3 linked regions of the Macaca fascicularis genome follow. The protein of the gene in region 3 interacts with the protein of the main gene of each other region in a pairwise test. Links are inferred from orthologs where the notes say so. Each region holds a gene or a part of one and is shown on either strand. Other genes may lie near its edges. The genes, in order: LGALS3, KLHL12 and PRR13.

Region 1 (3,748 bases), on a different chromosome or scaffold from region 3:
TAGAGTTACTTTCTGCTTCTCAGTGACTGATTTTTTCCCGCTATGGAAAAGCTGAACAGGGGTCAAAAGAGAACACATGACACTTAGTCAATAGCGAACTGGAAGTATACAGCAAGCACTGCCTAGCCTGGCTCTCAAGTTACCCACTCAGAATTTAATGAGAAGATCAGTTCAGGCACCAGACACAAGGAGCTACCCTTGAGTGGGAGCCTGTGTCCCAAACGACAGGAAAGAAGAGCTATGTTTGAGATCAGTTACCGCAAGTATCAAGTACGTAAGTTTACAAGTCACTTGGCATTTAAGGTCAACACGAGATTCTGAAGGCATACTACATGAACATAGGTCTCGGCTGCAGTTAAGGTTTATAGTCTGGCTAATGAAAGTTCTATGTAAAAAGGTACCTAAATTATACATGAGACCAGCATTAGCCTCTTGACCTCACTAAGTGAAAAGTCTTTATAAAGCACCTATGCATATTTGTAGCACAGCGAACTATCATAGATTAAAGACCTCTTAACAGAGCAAGACACCTATTCTACTTGGACACAACTAGTTTTCAGGGTCAATCCATCAGGCGGTACTCGTCCTCTTGTGCTTCTTACGTAACTTTTGAGGCATCCTCCTAGCACTTCTAAGTGCTAAATATTCAAGGACCATCATCAAACTTCTCCCCAGAATCTGGACTAAGTGCTGATTTTAAATGTCACCTCTAAATATGAATTTAGGAAGCTGCTTAAATCCCCCAAAGATCAAGGATGGGGTATGATCATCCCTAGAATGAGAGACCCTACCCTAAGGATTTAGAGTCAATGTCTAAAAGGGAGACCATTGTTGGAGAAAAGTAAATAATCATTATTCAACTTTACCTTTCGTGGAAACACACAATTTCCTAGCATGAAATGTTTATAAACTTGAGGTAGGCCAGGCGCAGTGGCTCAGGCCTGTAATCCCAGCACTTTAGGAGGCCGAGGCGGGTGGGTCACCTGAGGTCAGGAGTTCGAGACCAGCCTGATCAACATGGAGAGACACCCCCATCACCACCACCACCATCACTAAAAATACAAAATTAGCCGGGCATGGTGGCGCATGCCTGTAATCCCAGCTACTCGGGAGGCTGAGGCAGGAGAATTGCTTGAATCCAGTAGGCGGAGGTTGCAGTGAGCCGAGATCGTGCCATTGCCTGGGCAACAAGAGTGAAACTGCGTCTCAAAAAAACAAACAAAAAACACAAAAAACAAAAACCTTGAAGTAAACAAATCAGAACTTTGGAAGCTGACGACAGCTTTTTCTTCTCAAGCTCTGTGCCCAAGTGGTTCATTGTATCAGCCTCATTTTCTTCAGAATTAACTGAGCCTTCTCCCATTCCTTTCCCACAATCCTAGAAACAGCCTGGGTCACTGAGGTCCAGGTGTCCTCATTGTGCAGCAACCCAACTCCCAGAGTCACTTTACAAACATTCCGCAGTCTCTGGAATCGGCATGGCTAACTTGAAGGGTAAGACTGAGGCCTAAGTCCCAGCCTCCACCATGCGTCCCCGATTCCCTGGCCCTTAGTGCCTACTTCTCAGAGGGCAATCGTTTTAGTGTTTCTATTTGAGCACCCAATAATTCAGAATAAACTCTCAAACATGTTTTGGGAGTCCCCCGCTAGGGCTCTGCACACTAGGACCAACATTCTGCCACACCCAACACTTCCTCGGCACAGACAGTCTGGGCAGGGAAGGGCATTTGATTCGGAAAAGCTTAAGAGTTTGCAGTCTTCGCTAAGCCGGGTCATGCCCACTCAGGCCATGGGGCAAGCACCATTTCTGTGGGATTAGCAACCAGAGAGCGGCTGCAGCCCGGCCGCAGCTGGTCCTCGTGGAAGAACTCATTCGCGCCCCACAGAGAGATCTCCTCCGAGTCCAGCCTCAGCTGATGCTCAAAAGGGGCCGGGCGAGCCAAGCTGTGGGTTCCGGGAGGCGCCCTATGCAGTCCTCAGAAGTCCCTTCGCTCCCCCGCGGCCGAGCTCTGGGGAAGGGTTACCCGGCCCCAACCCCAGTTAGAGAAACTGGAGCGGCCGTCTGGTTTGCTGAGCGAGTCCCTCCGCCTCCCCTCGCAGCGGGACCTGGCAGGACTGGGGTGACCAGACCGCGGCTCTTCACCGGATGGGGCTTACTCCGGGGCCGCAGAGCGCAGCCGGCGGAGGTGCGACGGCGGTGAAGCCCCCGAGGCTCCGCAGAAGGTGGCCCGTGCCGCCGCGGGGACGTGTGTGGGTCTCGGAAGGCGCTGCCAACCTTTCCCGAGCGCCAGCGCCCTCAAGAATCAAAGGCGACCGCCCCGGGCCCGCCGCCCCGCACCCGGAGGGCAGAGCACAGGCTGTGGGGCTCTCCGCGCGCGTCCCGGCCTGGTCCCGGGGAGCCGAACCCCTCCGAGCCGCGCCCTAAGCAGCGCCCGGGCGCACTCACCCCTGCCCGGCCGGAGCCGCGTCCCCAGCGCCCCGCGCCGCTCACCGCTCGTTGGCTGGTTCCGGACGGCTGCTAACGAGGAGGTGCGGGCGCCGGCGGGGCGGTGGCTCCGAGCCTCAAATACTCCCAGCGCCGCCCGGCCCGCCTCTCCCGAGGCGGGGCGGCTCCCCTGCCCAGCCCAGCCTCTCCCCGGACCATGCTGGGCGAGCCCCGCGTCCGCCTGACACCCCGCGCCGCCGCCGCAGGGGCGACCAGGAAGCTCCCGACGGGCAGAGCGCGGGCTGAGGGGCGCGCCCTCTGCCACCACCGTTCGGTTCCGTGGCGCTCCGGGGGCCTGGGCTGCGGCCGCGTCTCTCCCCCGCCCTCTCCAGAATCACCTGAGTGAAGAATTCACTGAGGGGAATTCAATTAATAGGTTGCTTTATTTGTAGAATACAAAACCAAAAACCTTTTCAATGTCTATTGCCTAGGGAACTGACTACAAATTGACTACTTATTCTAGATCAATAGGCCTAGTCTCAAAGCAATTCCCTTATGAAGCAATTAGACAACTCTTTAACACATTTTGCACAGGAAATTCACATTATATATATATATCCTCCTTTTAACTTCACCTTATGTTTTCGTTGGAAGAAAGAGATAAGTATTATTATCTCATTTTTACTCTCAGGGTGCTATAGTCTGAATGTTTATATCCCGCCAAAGTTCATATGTTGAAATCCTAACCCTCATGGTGATGTGTTAGGAGGTGGAGGCCTTGCGAAGTGATTGGGTCATACGGGCAGGGTCCTTATGAATGAGATCGGTGCCCTAATAAAAGAGGCCGGAGAGAGACCCCTTGCCACTTCCACCATGTGAAGACACAGCCGGAAGGCGCCCTCTGTGAACCAGAAAGCAGGCCCTCACCAGACACCAAATCTGCTGGCCTGGGGATTTCCCGACCTTCAGAACTGTGGGAAATAAATGTATATTATCTATAAGCTACCCAGTTTATGATATTTTGTTACAGAAGCCCAAACAGACTAAAAGAGAAAATGATTTACTTATCCAAGCTCACTCATGTCTAGGAACAAAATCCAGAAATCCTGACTCTTAAACTTTATCTGGAAAAGCACCAGGTCAAAGAATCCTTGCAGGCCAAAACAAGGATCTCTGAGGAAAAAAAAAAAATTAAGGGGGGTAAGGGAAGAATCTTTGCAGGAACCGGCTTATGTAACCTATGGAGAAAACCAGTTATCATCTGGTTCCTAAATAATTCCTGTAGCCCTTATAGTAACCAATTAATAACATAAAGATAAATTA
Region 2 (3,648 bases), on a different chromosome or scaffold from region 3:
TTTTGCCTGATATACCAGAGCAGCGTCTAAGCTCTTCTAGCTCTTGGCCCTTTAAACTGTTCTACCCACAGTAGCCAGGATAATGTTTACAAAACATCAATATGATCATATCAGTAGCCTGCTTGAAACCTGCGGATGATTTCAAGTTGCACTTAGAGTGAAATCCAGTATTCTAATGCTCTCTGTATCTGGCCCTTGCTTGACTCTCCAGCTTCATATTTTACTCCTCTATCACCCTCATTCACTCTGCTACACTAGCCTTCTAGTCATTTCCTCAAGCTGCCAGTTCTTTTTTGCTGTAGGACAGAGCTGTTCAATGGAACATTCTACGAAGATGGAAGTACTCTATATCTATACTGTTTAGTTTGCTCCTGCTAGCCCCATGTTGCTATCGGGCACTTGAAATGTAGCTAATGCAACTGAGAAGCTGATTTTTAATTTTAATTATGGTGAATGTAAATAGCCACACATGGGTAGTGTATTGGACAATGCACTTCTGGTGCTTTTGAGTGTGCTCTTCTCTCTGCCTGGGAGTACTCTCTCTCTCTCTCTTTTTTTTCTTTTTTTTTTTTTTTGAGATAGAGTCTTGCTCTGTCGCCCAGGCTGAAGTGCAGTGGCGCGACCTTGGCTTACTGCAAGCTCCGCCTTCCAGGTTCACGCCATTCTCCTGCCTCAGCCTCTTGAGTAGCTGGGACTACAGGCGCCCGCCACCACGCCCTGGTTAATTTTTTGTATTTTTAGTAGAGATGGGATTTCACTGTGTTAGCCAGAATGGTCTCGATCTCCTGACGTCGTGATCTGCCTGCCTCGGCCTCCCAAAGTGCTAGGATTACAGGCATGAGCTACCGTGCCGGGTCCTGCCTGGGAGTACTGTCTTACTCCCCCTGGCTAACTGCTACTCATCCATCAGATTTCAATTTGTTGCTTCTTCAAGGAGGCCTTCCCTGCCTCACCAATCTAAACCAGAAAATCTCATGTTGTTCTGTCTCATAGCCCCAGTACCTTTCCTATATAGTATGTAATAATAGTGAGTTTTTTCATTTTTCTGATTTAGCAGTTTGACTCCCCACTTAAGAGCATGGATCATATCTGATTTGTTCACCATATCTGATTTGTTCACCATTGTGTAATCAGTTTCCAGGGCAGTGCCTGGCACTTAGGAGAGGAGTTCAGTAACTCCCTCAAATGAATGCACTTTTTGAAACACTGTCTGCATTTTTAGAGTATCACAGTTCTTGGAAAAAGTTTACAGAGTGATTTTTTTATCTAGTCACAGTGACACTCTGAAAGGTATCTCCCAGAATATGTACTCTCTAGGGGCTTGTAGAAGGGACACAGGACCTGTATTCAGGTGTCTGTCTTTGGGAAGTTCTAGGTGTTATTATATACCTAGGACCTTCCAGTATTGTAGAATAGGTTTTTTTTTAGAGTGTATCTCCCATTATCTAATTGGTCATATGTAATCTTAGACCTAAGTTCTCCAGATGATTAATTAATTATATCTTCTCAAATAGCATAGTGCCTAATACACAGTAGTTCCTTGAAGGCTAATTGATAATGCTTTTCCTTTTTATTTTTTTTAAGACATTTATTCAGCATCACGATCAGACTATTACATTTGGCAATCAACAGCATGGCTGCAAAAAAAAAAATCTGCATTAAAACCCTTTGTTGGAATGCTTTACACTTTCCACAGAACAGAAACTAAAATAACCTATTATACAATTAATCACAAATACAGTCCTCGAGTTTTTTGCCCATACACATGAGTATTTGTGTAAAATATGTCTGCTTTGTAGCAGTTAGGCCCTGCCACCACTGTGCTTGGCTAAATTCACAAATCTGTTGTAACCTGTAGCCTCCCTGTCACTTCTCTGGCTCCCCCTCCAGCTAAGCTTTATTTCCTAATTAAAATCTTCTGCCATTGCCATAGCTACTGCTGCTACTGGAACCACCATAGCCACCTTGGTTTCGTGGTTTGGCAAAGTATTAGTCTCTACCACCATAGGGGCCCAGAGCTTCGGCCTCCAAAGTTTCCTCCCTTCATGGGTCTTGTAATTGCCAAAATCACTGTAGCTTCCACCACCTCCAGAATTGCTTCCATCATTACCAAATCCATTATAGCCATCCCCACTGCCGCTTATCCACCACCACCACAGCTGTCATCTCAACTGAAACCACCTCCACGACCACCAGCAAAGTTTCCAGAACCACTTCGACTTCTTTGGCTGGATGAAGCACTAGCCATCTCTTACTTTGACAGGGCTCTCCTAACTTCACAGTTGTGGCCATTCATAGGGTGTTATTTCTGAATGACAGTCTTATTCACAGAGTCATGGTCATCAAAGGTTACAAAGGCAAAGCCCCTTTTCTTGCCACTGGCTCAGTCAGTCATGATTTCAATCACTTCAATTTTTCCAAACTGTTAAAAAATCTCTTAGGTGATGTTCTTCAGTGTCTTCTTTAATGCTGCCAACAAATACCTTTTTCACAGTTAAGTGGGCACCTGGTCTTTTGAGAATCTTCTTTTGAGACAGCTCTCTTTGGTTCCATGACTCTTCCATCCACCTTGTGAGGCCTTGCATTCATGGCTGCATCCACCTTCTCCACAGTGGCCAATGTGACAAACCCAAAGCCCCTGAGCGCTTGGTGTTTGGATCTCTCATTACCACACAGTCCATGAGCATTCCCCATTGCTCAGAATGACTCCTTAGGCTCTCATTGGTTATTTCAAAGCTCAACCCTCCAATGAAGAGCTTCCTCCGCTGTTCGGGCTCTTTTGGAGACTCTGACTTAGACCTGAGGGCAGGGAGAAGACAGACTTTAAAGATACTACTTTGGCAGCATCCACGGGCAGAAAGGCGATAATGCTTTTGAAAACAGCAACTAATGATGTTAGAAAAGCTCCTGCTTCAGAGGCTTGGATGAACAATTTGAGGGGTGAGCCTGGAGATCATTAGATAACAATTATGACTAAAAATTATTTCAAGAGCTGATTGTCAATAAGGCAACAGATTCCCCCACCTACCTTCCCTAAAGTTAGAGAGATGACCAGAGGCAATTCAGGAATGGGGAAAATTCTGAAACGAAGGCCAATATGTGACTAGTGATTTATTACGTACTGTTTATCATTCATATGTGTGTGTGTGTGTGTGTGTGTGTGTGTGTGTGTGTGTATAACCCAAATTGACTATAATTCTTTTCCTGGTCTGTTAGCTGTGTCTGAAAAAAATGTTTTCCCAAGAGCCTAGCTGTTTCTGGAAGATGGGAAATAATGGTGATGGGCAATGGGAAAGCAGGAAGGAGAAAGTGAACGTGGTTACTTTTTGAGATGGTGAGCTAATTGGAAAACTAGGATCCACGGTGTGTAATTACACATTTACAGGTGGATTCTGAAGAGCCAGTCTTTGAGGCTGTCATCAACTGGGTGAAGCATGCCAAGAAAGAGCGGGAAGAATCCTTGCCTAACCTGCTACAGTATGTGCGTATGCCCCTGCTGACCCCCAGGTATATCACGGATGTAATAGATGCTGAGGTAAGTGGTGCAACACTCTCAGGATCCAAAACCTTGACAAACTCTTACCTTAGTGTTCTGTATTCAAAACTGATTATTTTAACGTAGGCACAGAGTCTCCTGGTTTGCCTGTC
Region 3 (3,748 bases):
TGATGTTTCTTTTCAAGATAATCAGATTCTTCCCAGTAGCAATCTTTTACAAAAAGGAAGAATCATCGACCAGAGTGACACAATCGTCATCCCCCACGTCCACAGAATGTGAATCCCCCTCACCCAACCCCTGCCTACCTAGTCCCTCTGAGGGGGCACCCCTTCCCTAGCCAGGCTCCAGAGGGTACTGACCTTGCCACGCTTGTGGTGCTTGTGGTGCTTGTTCATCTTTTTATGAGCTTTCTTCATTTTCTTCTGCATCTTCTTGTCCACTATCACTGCTGGTCCGACCATGCCAGGAGCCAAGGGATTCACAGGAGGGATTCCAGGGGCAGGAGGTGGGTATGGAGGAGGGTAGGGACCCAAGGGTTGGCATCCTGGATACCCTGGCTGTGGCACAGGATGAGGGGGCCCACCTGGGGGGAAAGCTGGATTGCCCTGGGGAGCTCCTGGGGGAGGAGGACAGGGGCCTGAGGGAAAGAGTGGGTTAATAGGTGGTGGGTGGGCAGGATTGGAACCTCCAGGGCACCCGATGTTGGGGGTATATGGATTTGGCCCTGGCTGCCCTGGGGGAAGAAGCAGATTATAAACATTAGTATTCCCCAGAGTCTCCGACAACAAACAACAAAAAGAAAGAGATTCTTTCTCACCCAATACTTAAAGGGAAATGGAAAAGTGACAAAGGAGAATAGAAGGTAGGGGAGACAAACCTGAGTTGAGGATAAAAGGGGAATGTCCCCGTAAGGGCTGGAGAGAGGAGGGAGACAGTGAACTCTGAGGAAGACAAAAGTACTGGTCAGGCCGGTGGGGCGTGGTGGCTCAAGCCTGTAATCCCAGCAGTTTGGGAGGCCGAGGTGGACAGATCACATGAGGCCAGGAGTTCAAGACCAGCCTGGCCAACATGGTGAAACCCCGTCTCTACTAAAAATACAAAAAGTAGTCGGGCGTGATGGCGCACGCCTGTAATCTCAGCTACTCCAGAGGCTGAAACAGGAGAATCGCTTGAACCCAGGAGGCGGAGGTTGCAGTGAGCCGAGATCGCGCCACTGCACTCCAGCCTGGGCGACAGAGACTCCGTCTCAAAAAATAAATAAATAAAATAAAATAAAAAAGCACTGGTCAGCTGTAGACTAAGGACTTTGCTTTTGCGGGTGTGGCGGGTCGGGGATGGGGCAGCTGATAGAGAAACTTCCTGTTACAGAGTCCATCAGAAAAAGGGTTAGGGGTCGTACAGAACCCCCAAACACCTACCGGCATTGGGATTCCACATGTTTAGGTGTGTCCTCCAGCCTGAGGAGAAAGAAATGAGGCAAAAAAGATGACAGTCTAGAGGTAGGAAGTGGACTTAGCACCGGAGCCCAGCCCTAACGTCTTCCACCCCACAGTAGGCTCTCCCACCTGGAGAACTACCACGACTTCCACATAAGACACATCTCTTTTCTGGCTGGGCGCGGTGGCTCACGCTTGTAATCCCAGCACTTTGGGAGGCCAAGGCGGGTGCATCACGAGGTCAGGAATTCGACACCAGCCTGGCCAACATCGTTAAACCCCGTCTCTACTAAAAATCTAAAAATTAGCCGGGCGCGGTGGCGGGCGCCTGTAATCCCAGTTACTCGGGAGGCTGAGGCAGGAGAATCGCTTGAACCTGGGAGGCGGAGGTTACAGTGAGCTGAGATCGCGCCACTGCACTCTAGCCTGGGCAACAGAGCGAGACACCGCCTCGAAAAAAAAAAAAAGAAAGAAATGTCTCTTTCCACTTGTTTCTTCGCCCTCAATACCTACTTGGTTCCTAACACAGGAATCTAGTTCCCAGGGCCCCTCCACCTAGGTTGAAGCGTCTAACTCTTCGCAAGAGGGCATAGCCCGCGAGTCTCGGCACCCCCATCATTCATCCCCCTTTCCTGGAACTGAGTCCGGAGGCCTTTAACCACCCACAGAGTAAGAAAGGATCTCAAACAACTTTCTCCCTGGGGAGGACCTCACCTCAGGCTAAGAAAAGGATACGCCTGGAGGCGAAGAAGGAAGTTGCTCAAGAACCTCAAATACTTAAATAAATGGACACAGCCCAATTCCTCCAAAAAAGAAAAAAGGCAAATGAAGATCCTAGCCCCAAGCTGCGAAGGGGCTCTTAACCCAGCAATGGGAAAAGGAATAAACCCATGGAATTCAGATACCACGTCACCTTTCCACCGCCGCCTGGACTTGATGCGTTCTTCGCAGTCTCGGCTCTTACTTCCTAGTCACACCTAGTCACCCAGACCCCGTGCTTCGGTACCCGCCTCTGCTACTGCCTAATTGGTAATTATGTGGCCACTCGGCTGATGATTGGACAACAAACTAATCAATCACTCTGGTCCAACTGAGGAGGAAACGGTTGCTCTAGCTGCAGACCGGAGCCCTTTACGACTAGGCAAGTACTGAGAAGCCGGAAATCTCCTGGGGGCGGAGCTAGGCGGAGAGCGCTAGAGGGGGCGGGGCCAGCTGCTGGGCAAAGTCCTAGAGACACCGAGAAGAAACTCTGCCCTTGCTCTCTGCTAGTCATGGTTCACTGGGTGCAATACCTTGTAAAGTGAATACACTATGGTAAGTGTTGTAATACAGATATAGACAGAGTTCTCGGCAAGGGCAGAGGAGCTGCTGAGTCCTAGCCCCAAGCCTCAATGTTCTCGGCTCCCTCTTACACTCGCAAGGGAAGCAAACAAACATTCTTGCGGAAAATACAGAGATTTCATAATCTCTCCCAGGATTCCCTCTCTCAATTGCATAGCTCCGCCATCTGTCAAGAAGCCTAAACCAGAAACCAAGGAGGTCTTCCGTGATCCCTCTGTCTCCTTCACCTCCCTTACCCCAAATTACCAGTTTTGTCTCACAAATACATCTGGAATCTCTCCACTTCTCTCCGTCTTCCCTGGTCTAAACCTCCCATCATCTCTCGCCTGGATTCATTTCTCCCCTGAATTGCTACAATGGCCTCTTTTTTTTTTTTTTTTTTTTTTTTTTTTTTTTTTTTTTTTTGAGACGGAGTCTCGCTCTGTTGCCAGGCTGGAGTGCAGTGGTGCGACCTCAGCTCACTGCAACTTCCGCTTCCCGCGTTCAAGCGATTCTTCTGCCTCAGCCTCCCGAGTAGCTGGGACTACAGGCGCGGCTAATTTTTGTATTTCTTAGTAGAGATGGGGTTTCACCATGTTGGCCAGGATGGTCTCCATCTCTTGACTTCGTGATCTGCCTGCCTCGGCCTCCCAAAGTGCTGGGATTACAGGCGTGAGCCACCGCGCCCAGACTTTTTTTTTTTTTTTTTAAAGAAAACAATACAAGTGGCCAGGTACATTGGCTCATGCCTGTAATCCAAGCACTTTGGGAAGCCGAGGCGGGCGGATCACGAGGTCAGGAGTTCGAGACCAGCCTGGCCAATATGGTAAAACCCCGTTTCTACTAAAAATACAAAAATTAGCCGGGCGTGGTGACATGTGCCTGTGATCCCAGCTACTTGGGAGGCTGAGGCAGGAGAATCGCTGAACCCGGGAGGCGGAGGTTGCAGTGAGCCGAAATCGAAATCGTGCCACTGCACTCCAACCTGGGTAATAGAGTGAGACTCCGTCTCAAAAATAATAATAATAAACAACGACAACAAAAAAATCACACACAATACAATTAACAAACTTGACCTGATGAACATGCATTGAACCATGCTCTCAAAACTTAATGACTGCTAATTCTCCTTAAGCATGCTTAGAGCATTTATAAAAAT

The links.
Region 1: the proteins of PRR13 (region 3) and LGALS3 interact in binary tests that used the Homo sapiens proteins (3 or more experiments, as listed by UniProt). The two-hybrid records come from large-scale screens. The link is inferred for Macaca fascicularis from reciprocal best matches to the Homo sapiens genes PRR13 and LGALS3.
Region 2: the proteins of PRR13 (region 3) and KLHL12 interact in binary tests that used the Homo sapiens proteins (3 or more experiments, as listed by UniProt). The two-hybrid records come from large-scale screens. The link is inferred for Macaca fascicularis from reciprocal best matches to the Homo sapiens genes PRR13 and KLHL12.

The regions. Positions count from the first base shown.
Region 1 is NC_088381.1:122,989,198-122,992,945, reverse strand, and holds the start of LGALS3 (galectin-3), read right to left. Parts: upstream 2,538-3,748; 5' UTR 867-2,537; intron 1-866. UniProt on the Homo sapiens protein: Galactose-specific lectin which binds IgE. May mediate with the alpha-3, beta-1 integrin the stimulation by CSPG4 of endothelial cells migration.
Region 2 is NC_088375.1:60,664,849-60,668,496, reverse strand, and holds part of KLHL12 (kelch-like protein 12), read left to right. Parts: intron 1-3,385; coding exon 3,386-3,535; intron 3,536-3,648. UniProt on the Homo sapiens protein: Substrate-specific adapter of a BCR (BTB-CUL3-RBX1) E3 ubiquitin ligase complex that acts as a negative regulator of Wnt signaling pathway and ER-Golgi transport.
Region 3 is NC_088385.1:60,246,111-60,249,858, reverse strand, and holds the start of PRR13 (proline-rich protein 13), read right to left. Parts: upstream 2,225-3,748; 5' UTR 2,183-2,224; intron 2,073-2,182; 5' UTR 1,984-2,072; intron 1,291-1,983; 5' UTR 1,271-1,290; coding exon 1,252-1,270; intron 567-1,251; coding exon 193-566; intron 1-192. UniProt on the Homo sapiens protein: Negatively regulates TSP1 expression at the level of transcription. This down-regulation was shown to reduce taxane-induced apoptosis.